Coturnix japonica: one gene and its partners. Each later gene encodes a partner of the first gene's protein in a complex. Links are inferred from orthologs where the notes say so. Each region holds a gene or a part of one and is shown in the gene's direction. Other genes may lie near its edges. The genes, in order: PARD3, CDH5 and PRKCZ.

Region 1 (3,989 bases):
TCTGGCCACACCAAGTGCTCAGTGAACTGTGCAGCTCCACAGTCTTAAATGAAATCCATGGAAAAATGTGAGAGGTATTTGCCAAGCATTTTGATGGCTCTGGGGAGTAAACTGCTCAGCGATCTCATTAATGCTCATGTACATTGGTCATAGAGTTGCTTGAGTTGGAAGGGACCCTTAAAGGCCATCTGGTCCAACCCCCTACAGTGAACAGGGATATGTACAACTCCATCAGGTGCTCAGAGTCCCACTGAGCTTCTCTAGGGATGGGGCATCCACCACCAATCTGGGCACCCTGTGCCAGTGCCTCACCACCTTTACTGTATAAAAACCCTTATTTATATCCAATCTAAATCTCCCCCCTTTTAGCTTGAAGTCATTTCTCCTTATCCTGTCCCAATAGACCCTGCTAAAGAGGGTGTTCCCTTCTTTCTTACAGCATCCCTGTAGTTACTGAAAGACCTCTATTAGGTCTCCCTGGAGACTTTTCCAGGCTAAACAGCCCCAGGTCGGTTAGAATCAGCCTGATGACACATTGGTTTTCTCCTGTGTATCTATGCCAGTTCTGTCATGCTAAAAGAAACACGAAGGGCCATGAAGACCACCTGGCTCTCCACAAAAGTCAGGTAGAAAAGTGGAAAGATACTGTTTCCATGCTTTCTGCAGTTTAGCGCCTTAGTTTCATCCTTCAGATTAGTGGCGGAAGAGCAGCAGGCAATGCTCTGAGAGGAACAGCCGGCTGCGCCCACTCCTCTCAGCGGACCAACTGGTGTCGGGGGGAACAGCTCCTGCAGGGTTAGCGGTGCCGCCAGGGCTCGGGCCGGCCACCCCACCTCCACCGGGTGCCAGCGCTGCTCCTCGGCTGCCCGGTGCGCCCCGCGGCGCCGTCCGGCTGCACCCGCCCCGCTGCAATGCCCCGTTCCTCCGGAGCGGGGAGGCAGCGCCGCGCCCCGCCCGCCGCCGCTGCGCGCCGGGGCAGGCGCCGAGCAGGTGGCCGCAGGCAGCGGGCAGCTCCGCGGCATGTGAGCGGCCACGGCCTGCCGAGCTCCCCCAGCCAGGCAGAGAGCGGCCCTCGTCCTGCCGTACCCCTACCCCGGTCCCCTGCTCGTACCCCTGCAGCGGGGCGCACGCAGCGACAGTCCGGCGGCGGCGGCGGCCGGGGGCTGAGCGCCGCGCCCCGCCGGGGGGCGGCCGTGGCGGAGGGCGGAGAGGCGGCGGAGGAGGAGGAAGAGGAGGAAGAGGAGGAAGGCTGCGCGGGGCCGGAGGGATTCGGGATCCCCCCGGCCACGCAGGATGAAAGTCACCGTGTGCTTCGGGAGGACGCGGGTGGTCGTACCCTGCGGGGACGGCAACATGAAAGTTTTTAACCTCATCCAGCAAGCGGTGACCCGGTACAAGAAGGCAATCGCCAAGGTGAGGGGCGCGGGGAGCGGCGCCCGCGATCAATATGGCGCTTCCCGGAGCGGGGAGGGAAGCGAAGGGGGGAAAGTCCGGGCTGCCCCGCTCGGGGCGGCGGCCGCGGGGCCTCGGTCCGGACGGCGGCGGCCCCAAGCAACCAACCCAGCGGAGCTGCGCTCGGAGCGGCCGCGGGAAACACGAAGGGGGGGGCGGCGGCCCCTCGACCGGCCTCCCGGCGCCGGCCTCTCTGCGGCGGCCCCTCGGCGGCGGGCGGAGAGCGCGGCTCCCCGCGGGCGCCTGGCGGGCCTCGGCCCTTTGTTCGTTAGTGCCCAGCAGCGGGGCAGCCGCCGCCGGGAGCGCCGTTGCCGCGGGGCGAGGCGGGCTGTTCGGCCCGGCCCGGCCGGGGAGGGGCGCGGGGGCCGGTGTTGCCCCGGGCGGGTGGCGGAGCCGAGGCGAGAGCCGCTGGAAATCCAGCCGCAGGCTTCCCGGCCATCCAGGCCCGGTGGGGAGGCGGTGCGGGGGGAGTCCGCCAAAGGGACGCCCCCGGGCCGAACCCCCGGTCCCACTCCGGCCGAGGCTCCGCGGGGCCCCGTGCGGCCTCTGCGAGGCTCCGGTTGTACGCGGGAGCCCCGAGAGCTGGAGGCGGCCGCGGGGTGCGGGAGCCCCGAGCTCGGCCTGCGGTGGGGCCGAGCCCGAACGCTGTCCGTGCCGGCCTCCTAAAGCCCCATGTTGAAATCTCGGCTGTGGTTGTGCGGCGGTTACACGCTCGGTTTCCCTGCCACAGATTTGTTGGAACTGCTCTTTTGCGTCTCTCCGCTCTTTTTCTTGTACTTTCTTCTTGTTGCTGCAAAGTTTTTAACCAGCCGTTGACTGGGACTATACCAAAGTCTCTCTCTCGAAGCTAAATTGCCATCCCTTCTCCTTTCCTCTTCTCGATTCGTTGAAGCGCTGTGTGCAGCTTTTCTGAGCCGCTCAGTTGGTCCTCACTCCCCCAGATCTGGGAGTTTTATGTTGGCAAACGCCGACCTGAAAGCTCTGAAGCTGCAGCTCGGCTGGGAGAGCTCTGTGGGTAGAAGCGGTGGGTGGGATCCCGGGAGATGTCTGAGATCGGTGTTCTCAGAGGGAGCTCTGGGTGCCGCATGGTGGGGGGACACTGGGGCTTCCATCTCCTCCCTGCTCTGTTCCTGAGGGTCCTGATTTGGAAGAATAAAAGCAGGAAACGCTCGCTGCACTTTTATTCTCCTGCAGCAGTGGCGATTCTGGCTAGGAAAAGAGTAAGGGGCTGCCTGGCATGGGGCTGCACGGTCACTGGTTGCATGCTGCAGGCGCTGTGTGTGCACACATGCTGTGGGTACAGCATAGTGGCCCTAAGTATATCCTGTGGGAGCACCGAGGGCTTCATTGGGCCGTTTGTGTGAGAAGCATTTGCAGAATTCGTTCTTCAGTGCTCCAGCATTGGCAAATATCAAGTATTGTGATGCCTGAGATTTGCAGATAGTCACAGCCTGGCTCCCCCAGCTCCCTGCCCTGCTTTACGTGGCGCGGTGCTGCAGGTATTAGCAGTTATACGGCGGTTACACAGAGTGCCACGGGTATGGGCTGGAGTAGCCGTAATTACTGAGATTGTTTCTATTATATGGAAATAATGTGGTTGAAAACTTAGCAGCAGCATCCACAGGCTCCTCTGTGGGTGCTTTTTGCAGCCAGTGTCACACTTTGTGTTTAACCTGACCTCAGCAAAGCTTTTCCTCAGTGCTACCTGGGATGGATCCCAGAGACTCCCATATGTGCATGGGTAACATTGTAAATGTATGATTCCAGGGGCAGGGCTTCATGGGTTACTGTCTCCTTCCAGCAGTTACATGGTTGCTTCCAGTGCTGGTGTAGTGTTAGTGTAGCACTAGTGTAGCCAGGGAGCAACCCTCCCATCTGGAGGGAGATGGGGAGGAGACAAAGTGATTTCTGCACTGAGAAGTGAAGGTGTGTGTGTGATGAAGGGCCCTCGCAGCTGGCCCCACACTGACACGGAGTTTTCCTGAACCACTGCTGTGGAAAATGCCTTTGTGGTGGAACAGTATTCAGAATAGTTTAATGAAATGTATGGTTTTCATGCTGACTGCAAAGCACCATTCCTCATCCTGCCCAAGGTCTGGTAGCTCAGTGTTGCCGTGCTGCTGGGAGAGGGTCGGAGCTGCTGCTGGCCTCAGCCAGAGCTACCTGAACTCTGTTACTGAGGCCACGTGCTGGAAGTGAGGAGAGTATATATTCAGGTAATGGAGATGGTAGTGAGGTTCTCCTCTTTATGAAACATTTTAGCTCATGGCTGACACACCTACTTGCTGCAGCCTCTTGTGGAATCTGCTATCTGTGGTTGGGGTTTGTACACCTCAAAGAAGTTCAGCGTGGATTAACACAGCTGTTGGTACTAAATCTTTATGTGTGGAATGACTTCCTAACATGGTGGGCTGCGTGTGGAGTGCTTTGTGTCCAGGAAATCTCTGTGATCCCTTGCCTTTGTTCCAAAGGGAGCTCTGTATCTGAAACGTGATCCATTTCTCCCCAAGTTTTGTTTGCAGAGAAAGATGAAGTGA
Region 2 (4,292 bases), on another chromosome or scaffold:
AGGAAATGCCCTCTTCGACCATATTTTCAGTTCACAGCCTTCCTCTGTACTTCCCACAGCTCTTAAACCCCCAAGTCAGCAGGTCACTTACTGAAATGCAAGCAAAGCAGTCAGGAAGCTCTGGGAGGGCATTAGTGTAGGTTTCATTACTGCTTTCACCATCCTTAGTTCACAGCTATTCACACACTGGTGTGGAGGTAGCTTTGTTTCTTAAATAATATATATGTATTTTTTTAAAGGCCAATATCAGTGCTTGCCTCCCTCATTTTTACCTAGTTCTGTGTCAGAAACAACAGAAAGACCAGGAGCCCTGTCTTGCTGCCTGCTATCAGTCTGGCGTCCTTTGCTCGCTGCTGACCATGGGCTATCTAATCAAAAGAAAAGAATCTTCAACATACACACCATATTCACGGTTATTATTGTTTAAAGGGACTATAAATAACAACAAATAAACATTTTTTCATCTATGGAAGAGGTGTCTGACCTGCCCAAGGACTCCATCCAACCATCAGATGCAGTTGTATTTTCTACCACCTAAGAGAGAATTGTTTGGTATGCTGAAGAGATGGAAAAAATCATTATTTTCCCCAGACTCACCAGAAATGTAGAGCTGAAATCAGAAAGAACATACAGAAAGAAAAAAAATGCTTTTTTTTCTTCAGAAAAAAACATGAGGTAACAAACTGTGGGCCAAAATCAGACACAGAACAAACTCCTCAGCTCCGCTGCGGAGCTCCAGTGCTAAGAATACAGAGAATACAGAATACAGTGCTCACTCAATACAGAGTGATGTGGGATTTTTTTGCAGTTGCACATTTGGTTAAAATACTGCTGAAGCGACTGTTCATTCAAAGCTACTATCACAAGTATAAAATGCCATTTAATAATCAGCTTTCAGGCAGGCATTTGCAGTCCAGATTGTTTAGTCATCAAAGTGGCTATTTACTTGAAGGTACTATCATGCATATAAAAAGTCATTTTATAATCAGTTTTCAGGTAGGCATTTGTGCTCCCGGCTGTTTAGTCATCAGTGGAAGCCACTTCTCAGGTGTATAAAGCCGACATAAGGACAATCAACACCATAATACTAGGCAGCCAGGCACCAGGCACATTTAAATCAGCTCAATAAGCTGGAAACCAAAAAGCAGCACAATGTTCTCAGGAAAGACCCACTTTAGAATGAATTATTGTACATTGTTGAGAGTATGTGACAAGACAGCTTTAATCAGAAACAAGAGAAGCGCAGAGGAATAATTTACACAAAGAAGAGTAACAAGAAATGCTCTCTCCGAGTTAAATGTTGCACAACCTCCCAATGTGTCACTGAAGGTTGAAGATGTGGTTCCCATTCCCACTGAACTCACTATGTGTCCTTAACTATTCTCACCCTGTAAACTCACTGGAGCAAAGGAGGACTGCTTTTTTGCAATTTAGAAGCCACTCAGAGCATGCAGTGCAGGTAACAATTCTATCTGTGTCATTACTTTGCTGCCTTGTCTCTCCGGGTTTGTCAGAGCAGGTTAGAGCAATGTTGTCTAATTAGGAGATCAAAAAAATTGGGAGAAAAAAATCCAAGTCTGCTGTTAGTGCTGACCTCAGTCCATGACAGGAGATGGCAAAGAAATTTAAGTCCTCTGTGCTTCAAAGGTACCTTTTGAAAGGGATACAGCTTTTCATCTAGCAGCAGTGCTTTTCACAGATCTGAGAAGGTTTTATCCATTCATGTTAGCACAGCCATTTGCAGTCCCTGAAATGCAGCAGTAAGTACTGCTAGGGCTACTTTCTTCTAATCAAGTTTTGTCTGCTTACCAAACATGCTCCTTCTGCAAAGCACGCATAGCATGCATTAATCTACAGGCACTGCAAAGATGATTTATCTTCCTTACATTTGGTGGTTACTTTTCTATTTCTTACTGCCTACTGTATTCAGAAATTCACATTTGGTCTTACACATTGTATAAATGAGAAAGTAACAGTAAAACTGGGCTCTGTAAGGCAGAGTTGTTTTGTTAGACAAAAAAAAAGTTGTTTTGTTGAGTCAACCTGCTCTCATTAAATCTAATGTGGCTTCATTAAGAATAGCAAGTGTCCAGATATTGAATCAAAGTAAAATTTTTGCACCTGAACAACATCTAATTTTGAAGAGTTGGCAAATTCAGCAGAATTTTCACACAGAGCTGCCTAGGGAGGGGACAGGGAAAGGCTTATAACAATACTTGTGGTAATACAGACCTCCCCCTGGAGGGGAGTTGCCAGTACTGTGTAACAGAATATAACCTGTCTTGTATTATTCACTTATCAGTCATTTTCTTATTTTTTTCTACCCTGATGAAACTCTCAATTTCAAAAGAGATTTTTCATTTTCATTTACACTGTTCAGATTCCGACCATGATACTGTAAACAAAAATAATCATTAAGTTTCCAGCTCAACAATCAATAATCATTTAGTTTCCAGCTTTTTATAACAATCAGGTATGCAAATTATCTGAATATAAAATTAAAAAAAAATAAAATTAAAAAAAAATAAAATTAAATTTAAAAAAAAAACAAAAAAAACAAAAAAAAAAACCATGGGAAGAGTTATTACAGGGGATCAAGAAGGGCTTATTTCTTCCCTGGTGTATAATAGTGACTTCCAAGCAAATTCCTCTCTTAGGATATTTTACATCATTACTTCTGTCTTGCCTGGAAACAAATGCCACAAAACAAAAGCTCTCTAAGAATACCTTAATCTGATTAACACCTCAGTTTAGCTACAGATGTCTGCATATTTATCAAAGTCTTCATGTAGAAAAGTGGTTTAAGTTTGACTTAACATACAAGCATAGAACAAGATTTGTAATTAATTAACCTAACCTCACATAAGCACGAATAGGTAATTTCAGAGCAAGAATTAAGCCAAGTAAAAGGGAAATACCAGAAAAAAAATAAAATAAAATAAAATAAAATAAAATAAAATAAAATAAAATAAAATAAAATAAAATAAAATAAAATAAAATAAAATAAAACAACAAATGTTCATTAGAATATTCCATCAAATGTATTTTCATTGAATGGACACTATTTATCATCAGACTTGTTTGATTACTTACTAAAATAACCTGCAAAATGCAAATTTCCAATCAGTACAGTATTACCTGCATCTTCACTTGATTTTTCTTTAATAATTACTCCCAGTCTGCAAGAAGAAACTACACTGTACGTATCAGGTGTCTTATAAATCAGTCTGAACACCAGCATCTCTCAGTTAAATGTCTACAGTACCCTGCAGAACAAGTTATTTTCTGAAATAACTCAATACATAAAATGAATAATGCTGGTGGAAGAAATATCATTCGCTGTAAGAAAATTTAAGAGCATAACAAGAAGTTTAAGTATTTGAATAAGCCATTCCCCTGCTAACTTGGAGGAACACTTACAGTCCTTGCTTAAATTAAAAAAAAAAAAAAAAAGGTTTGAATTATTAGTAAGAGTCAGAGTGCAGCAGGACCCTGCTTCCAAAGTGTCTGTATGTGCTGCCAATAAAGGGCACCCTGAAATACTGTGATGAACAAAGCCACAGATCCAAGAGGGTTTTTAAAGTATGCTTTAATCAAGACTTGACATTTGAGCTATAAATGTTTTCTGCAGGTCTATAAAATTATTAGTTGCAGTGAAACGAATGGCAGCTCAAGCAGGCAGTGCTGTCCTCAGTTTCACCTGCTAACCTCATCACAGCAAAAATCCATGAGATCCCACAGGACCACAGCAATGAGAGGAAATGGCAGCTGAAACACTACCATCTGTTTTTCCTGAAGTACAGACTGTACCAGCTCACTTTAGCCAAATGGTTTTCCTTTGGTTACCATGTTTTGTAACTTTATGAACAAAAGATGGAGCACAGCAGCATCAAATTCAGTGCCTGACAGTTCCAGCTGTAAAATATTTGGGATATACGGATAAAATAAAGCAAAACAACTGTATCTTACTCATTTTTTTCTAGGAATAAGATAAAATAAAGCCAAAGTAAATGCACAGAAGAGAAATAAATAGCTGATTCAAAAAGTTTTATATAAATCCCTAAAACTGTACAAACCACAGCTCAGCTATTAAATAGCAGCTTTGAAGGCAGCCTATTTAGTCATCTCTTACACATCACAACATTCTGCAGGTCATGCACAACTGTAAAGAGAGCAAAATTTCACAGTAAATAAATCTTTTTACTGATAATGATGCTGCAGCACAGGGTAACACTGATTACCTAATTAGCAAAGTGTGATTTTGAAAATCCCAGCAAATGATGCCAAAGATA
Region 3 (3,704 bases), on another chromosome or scaffold:
ATAAACTGGCTTACCAGTCTGGCGCAAGGCAAAGTGTATGTAAGATATGTCATGTCCAGAAGAAGAAGATGATGGGAAAGGATTTTCTGTGTGGGGAGAAATAGTATGAGCCATTATGTTAACAAAGTATGGAGTTCATAAAGTCGTGCTGAAATCATTTGTTGGGCAAGTCTCTGCTGCCTACTTTCTTTCTGCAGGAAAGGCTGATGTTGGCAAGTCTTGTTCCAAGTTATCCCTGCATGTAAAGGATTTATCAGTGTGTTTCTTCAAAAAATAGTTGAGAAATTTCCCTTTTCTTTACCCTTCCTGTAGGCTCTGAGATGTCATCATGATGTGAGATGGTTTTCATTATGTCTTCTTGCTGCAAAATGTGGCATTTCTCTACAGCCTTAAGTTAGATAGAGCCTTCTGGTTGCTGTGAGTAGGAGCGGGATGGAAGTGCTTGGCATTGTGTGCCCTTGCTACCTGTCTGCTTTTCTTAACAACTCAGATATCTGCTTATGACTCTCAGGTGTGATGCAGCTGTAACTTGTTATGGGCAGATCTCTTGGCTAGTAGGTTATTAACAGCTGCCTTGTGATTATACAATTGCACTAGCACTCAACTTCATCTGAAGGCTGACAAACATGTAGACAGCTATACAGATTTCAGTTTGTTGTTTCATTGCTGTATGTATTAGTCTAATGAAAAGTAACTTGATAAATGCCCACAGAACACTGCATGTGTTTTGAACTGCATGATGGCTGATGAAAGGGAGATTCAGGTAGCACAGGAGGTTGGGTTTTGTTGAGGGTGGGTGTCTCCATTTAGTTTACTTGTTGGTTGAGTTACTTATTAGGCTGTTTTGGGATACAAAGGAGGCTAACATGTTGCTGTTGCCTTTGAGTGCATTTAAAAGCTTGTTCTGCACTGATGAAGTGTGTGGGTGCAGAAAACAAACAACAGAAAAGGTTGTAAGTGTGTATCCATAACATTCACCTGTGTTTATTTGCTGCAATTCAGTCATAGATTGCTTCTCTGAATCTAACAAAAGAGACTCAAATCTGTGTGCACCTTTATGTAACTTGTTCTTACATTCTGTATCTGATCAAAGTGCCTGATACATTTCAAGTGACTGACAGAAAACAGTCCATGGGCTGATGCTCAATGAAGTAGCCTACTCAGTATTTCAGTTATAAATCCATATGTCTTGTTTTGCTCCTCAGGTGACCCATGTACCATCTCATCTCAGATGGAATTGGAAGAAGCCTTCCGACTGTATTGTCAAAACAGAGAGGAAGGGCTGATTATTCATGGCAAGTATTATACAGTTTGAGACCTTGTGTGTATTTGGAAAACATAACAGCTTCAGATTAGAACAACTTCTGCCTGTCAGATAGCATCCTTCTATGCCTGGGGTGCCCTGTGCTCTGGTACCATCAGGCTGAAGGGTTCTGTTGGCTGTGGAGTTCACAGCTGGCACCATGGTGTGGGCTTCAAGTTCTGAACCCAGATCTGTGAATGCAGGCAGTGCTGGCAGTAGTTGTGATTGCAGAAAGTTTTGGTTTTGAGTAACTGTATTCAAGAATCAGGTGAATAGAGCTGCTGAGAGTCTTCTCACTTAAAGGCTTCATGTTTTATTTCCAGTTTTCCCAAGCATTCCAGAGAGACCTGGCATGCCTTGCCCAGGAGAAGACAGTGAGTACCACAATGCTACCAGATTCCAGCTTCTATTTCTTCAACTGTACAAAAAAATACATTGAAAGCTTTTATAAGCTGGTTTTATATATGTGTATTTGTTCTGTGGTTTTCTACAATTAATATGTTCAGTATTTAACATATTACTATGAAGTTTCTCTACTGATACTGTAATGTTTCTAAGGATTAGTACTGGTTTCCAGTAGCTGGGAGGAAAAGAGGTCAGGATTTAATGTGGTCCCTACTTTTGCATTTCTTTTATTTCTTAACTTTTGGGGTAACAAATTGATGTATGTAAGAGTGAAATGCACTATTTTTTCAATTTATTTTACAAAAGGCTTATTTGGTCATTGAACTCCTTTAAAAGGTGGATAAGCCTCCACTATGCTATCATCAAAAAGAGTGAGCTAACAGGAGAGATTTCACTGCAAATAAAAGTTTGTTGTGATTTAATGTTCTCATTAGAGATGTGGATATTTAGAAGAAAAGTGGTTTTGATACTGATTTGTAGGTGTTTTTAATGACTGTGGGCCATCAGATGAGCTCGAGGAGCATCAATTAGCATGGTACAGGTGACCTGTGTGCTCCATTTGTAGGGTTGAGCTGTTCTTTGTTTAAAATGGCTGTTCTGTTGGATGTTCTTAGTGATTTGTGGTCTGATTTCTCAGTTAATGGGTGAACTTGGAGCCTGTTGCTTCTTTGTGTCCACGGGACCTACGTGCAAATCTGTTATTGTGGCCTGGCAGTAAATATTTTCAGACTGTTTTTACACCAGAGCTGTTAAGCCGCACCGGTGCTAATTTAGAGTATGCTAATGCATTCAGCATTACTGCTTATTACTTGCACATGTACAGCAAAGATCTGCTTTGCTCTTGGGCTATATGGAAATGCTACTGATTCACATGATATTGTTTGTTTAAAGGCCATGCAAGGGAAGTAGATTATCTCAGTAGCACTTTAACTTCTTATGCTCTAGAAATACACCTAGGTAAAAGACCTGAATTAAAAATATGACTTTGTGCTCAGCTCTTTGCTCTGTGTTTAATGGGAACTGGGAAGTTAACAGGGCTCAAATAGCGTCCTTTGCTTAGAAATGTACAGCATGTTTCAAAGTGATGTTTCATCCTTTGGAGTAAGAGTGCAGAAATATCCGAGTATTTTGTGTTGTGTTGAAATCTAGTAATGAAACTTTGTGAAACTGATGTGGCTTTGAGGCTGTGCCAGCCAGTAAGGCCTGAAATAAACACATGTAATCCATTAATGAAATAAGGAATGCAAATGCCATTGTAATTTCAGTCACGTGGTGTAAGAAGTTCTTTCTGTGCTTGAAGAAGCTCCTTATTTTGTTACGCTGCTGTCTGCAACGTGGAATAACTGCGGATTCTTTAGAGTCAGATTTGTACAGACTCTTTTTCTCCTGTGTTATTCACCCCTCCTTGATTTAGCTCCTCCCATGGATGTACAGCTGCTGTAGGAGCAGCACCTTCTGCCTTGGGTGAGGCAGTGCATCCCTGGCTGGGAATGGCAGAGCTTCTGCAGTGCCTGCAGCCCTTACCAGGCTCTGGATGCAGCTCAGGGGCGTTCCTGGCAGCTGCTGCCTGAGCCTCAGTCCTTGGTTGGTCCTGGTGTTCCCTGATTAAAAATGGGGGACTTGGCTGCCAGTCTGCTGTATTTAAAAATACTCGTGGAGTATAAATGAGCTTTCGTTTGGGAACTGACATTAAACAGGGCTGTTTCTGAAATGTTTATCTATTTCTTGTCTGTGCTCGTAAGCGAGGGCCGTCCTGATGCACGCGTGGTTTCTGATTGGCAGTTTTGCTAATTATTGTAGTTTCAGCTTATTTATACCGACAGATTTTGATCTGATTTATTCCCCTTGCTGCTGCAGCACGTTGTAGAACAAAGCGCGTTTAGCTGAACAATTCCTATTGATTTGTCAGACTTCCCGAACGGCATCGCTGGTTTTATCAGAGAAATACTTGTTTTTGTGACATCAGCTCCTTGACATCCATGCCATGTTTTAGTCT

Evidence for each region.
Region 2: the proteins of PARD3 (region 1) and CDH5 are in contact, whole or in part, in an NMR structure (PDB 2KOH), measured with the Mus musculus proteins. The link is inferred for Coturnix japonica from reciprocal best matches to the Homo sapiens genes PARD3 and CDH5. Residues at the interface, in NP_296369.2 of Mus musculus: Ala599, Gly600, Leu601, Gly602, Val603, Ser604, Val605, Lys606, Gly607, Arg609, Lys611, Lys622, Ile625, Asn655, Gln656, Met659, Arg663, Met666; in NP_033998.2 of Mus musculus: Tyr774, Gly775, Asp777, Gln779, Glu780, Glu781, Leu782, Ile783, Ile784.
Region 3: PARD3 (region 1) and PRKCZ share a complex: the UniProt entries of both Homo sapiens proteins name them as parts of the par polarity complex. The link is inferred for Coturnix japonica from reciprocal best matches to the Homo sapiens genes PARD3 and PRKCZ.

The regions. Positions count from the first base shown.
Region 1 is NC_029517.1:11,840,900-11,844,888, forward strand, and holds the start of PARD3 (partitioning defective 3 homolog), read left to right. Parts: upstream 1-1,189; 5' UTR 1,190-1,293; coding exon 1,294-1,413; intron 1,414-3,989. UniProt on the Homo sapiens protein: Adapter protein involved in asymmetrical cell division and cell polarization processes. Seems to play a central role in the formation of epithelial tight junctions. Targets the phosphatase PTEN to cell junctions.
Region 2 is NC_029526.1:10,029,488-10,033,779, reverse strand, and holds the start of CDH5 (cadherin-5), read left to right. Parts: upstream 1-1,321; 5' UTR 1,322-1,336; coding exon 1,337-1,459; intron 1,460-4,292. UniProt on the Homo sapiens protein: Cadherins are calcium-dependent cell adhesion proteins. They preferentially interact with themselves in a homophilic manner in connecting cells; cadherins may thus contribute to the sorting of heterogeneous cell types.
Region 3 is NC_029536.1:1,553,008-1,556,711, reverse strand, and holds part of PRKCZ (protein kinase C zeta type), read left to right. Parts: intron 1-1,205; coding exon 1,206-1,295; intron 1,296-1,626; coding exon 1,627-1,677; intron 1,678-3,704. UniProt on the Homo sapiens protein: Calcium- and diacylglycerol-independent serine/threonine-protein kinase that functions in phosphatidylinositol 3-kinase (PI3K) pathway and mitogen-activated protein (MAP) kinase cascade, and is involved in NF-kappa-B activation, mitogenic signaling, cell proliferation, cell polarity, inflammatory response and maintenance of long-term potentiation (LTP).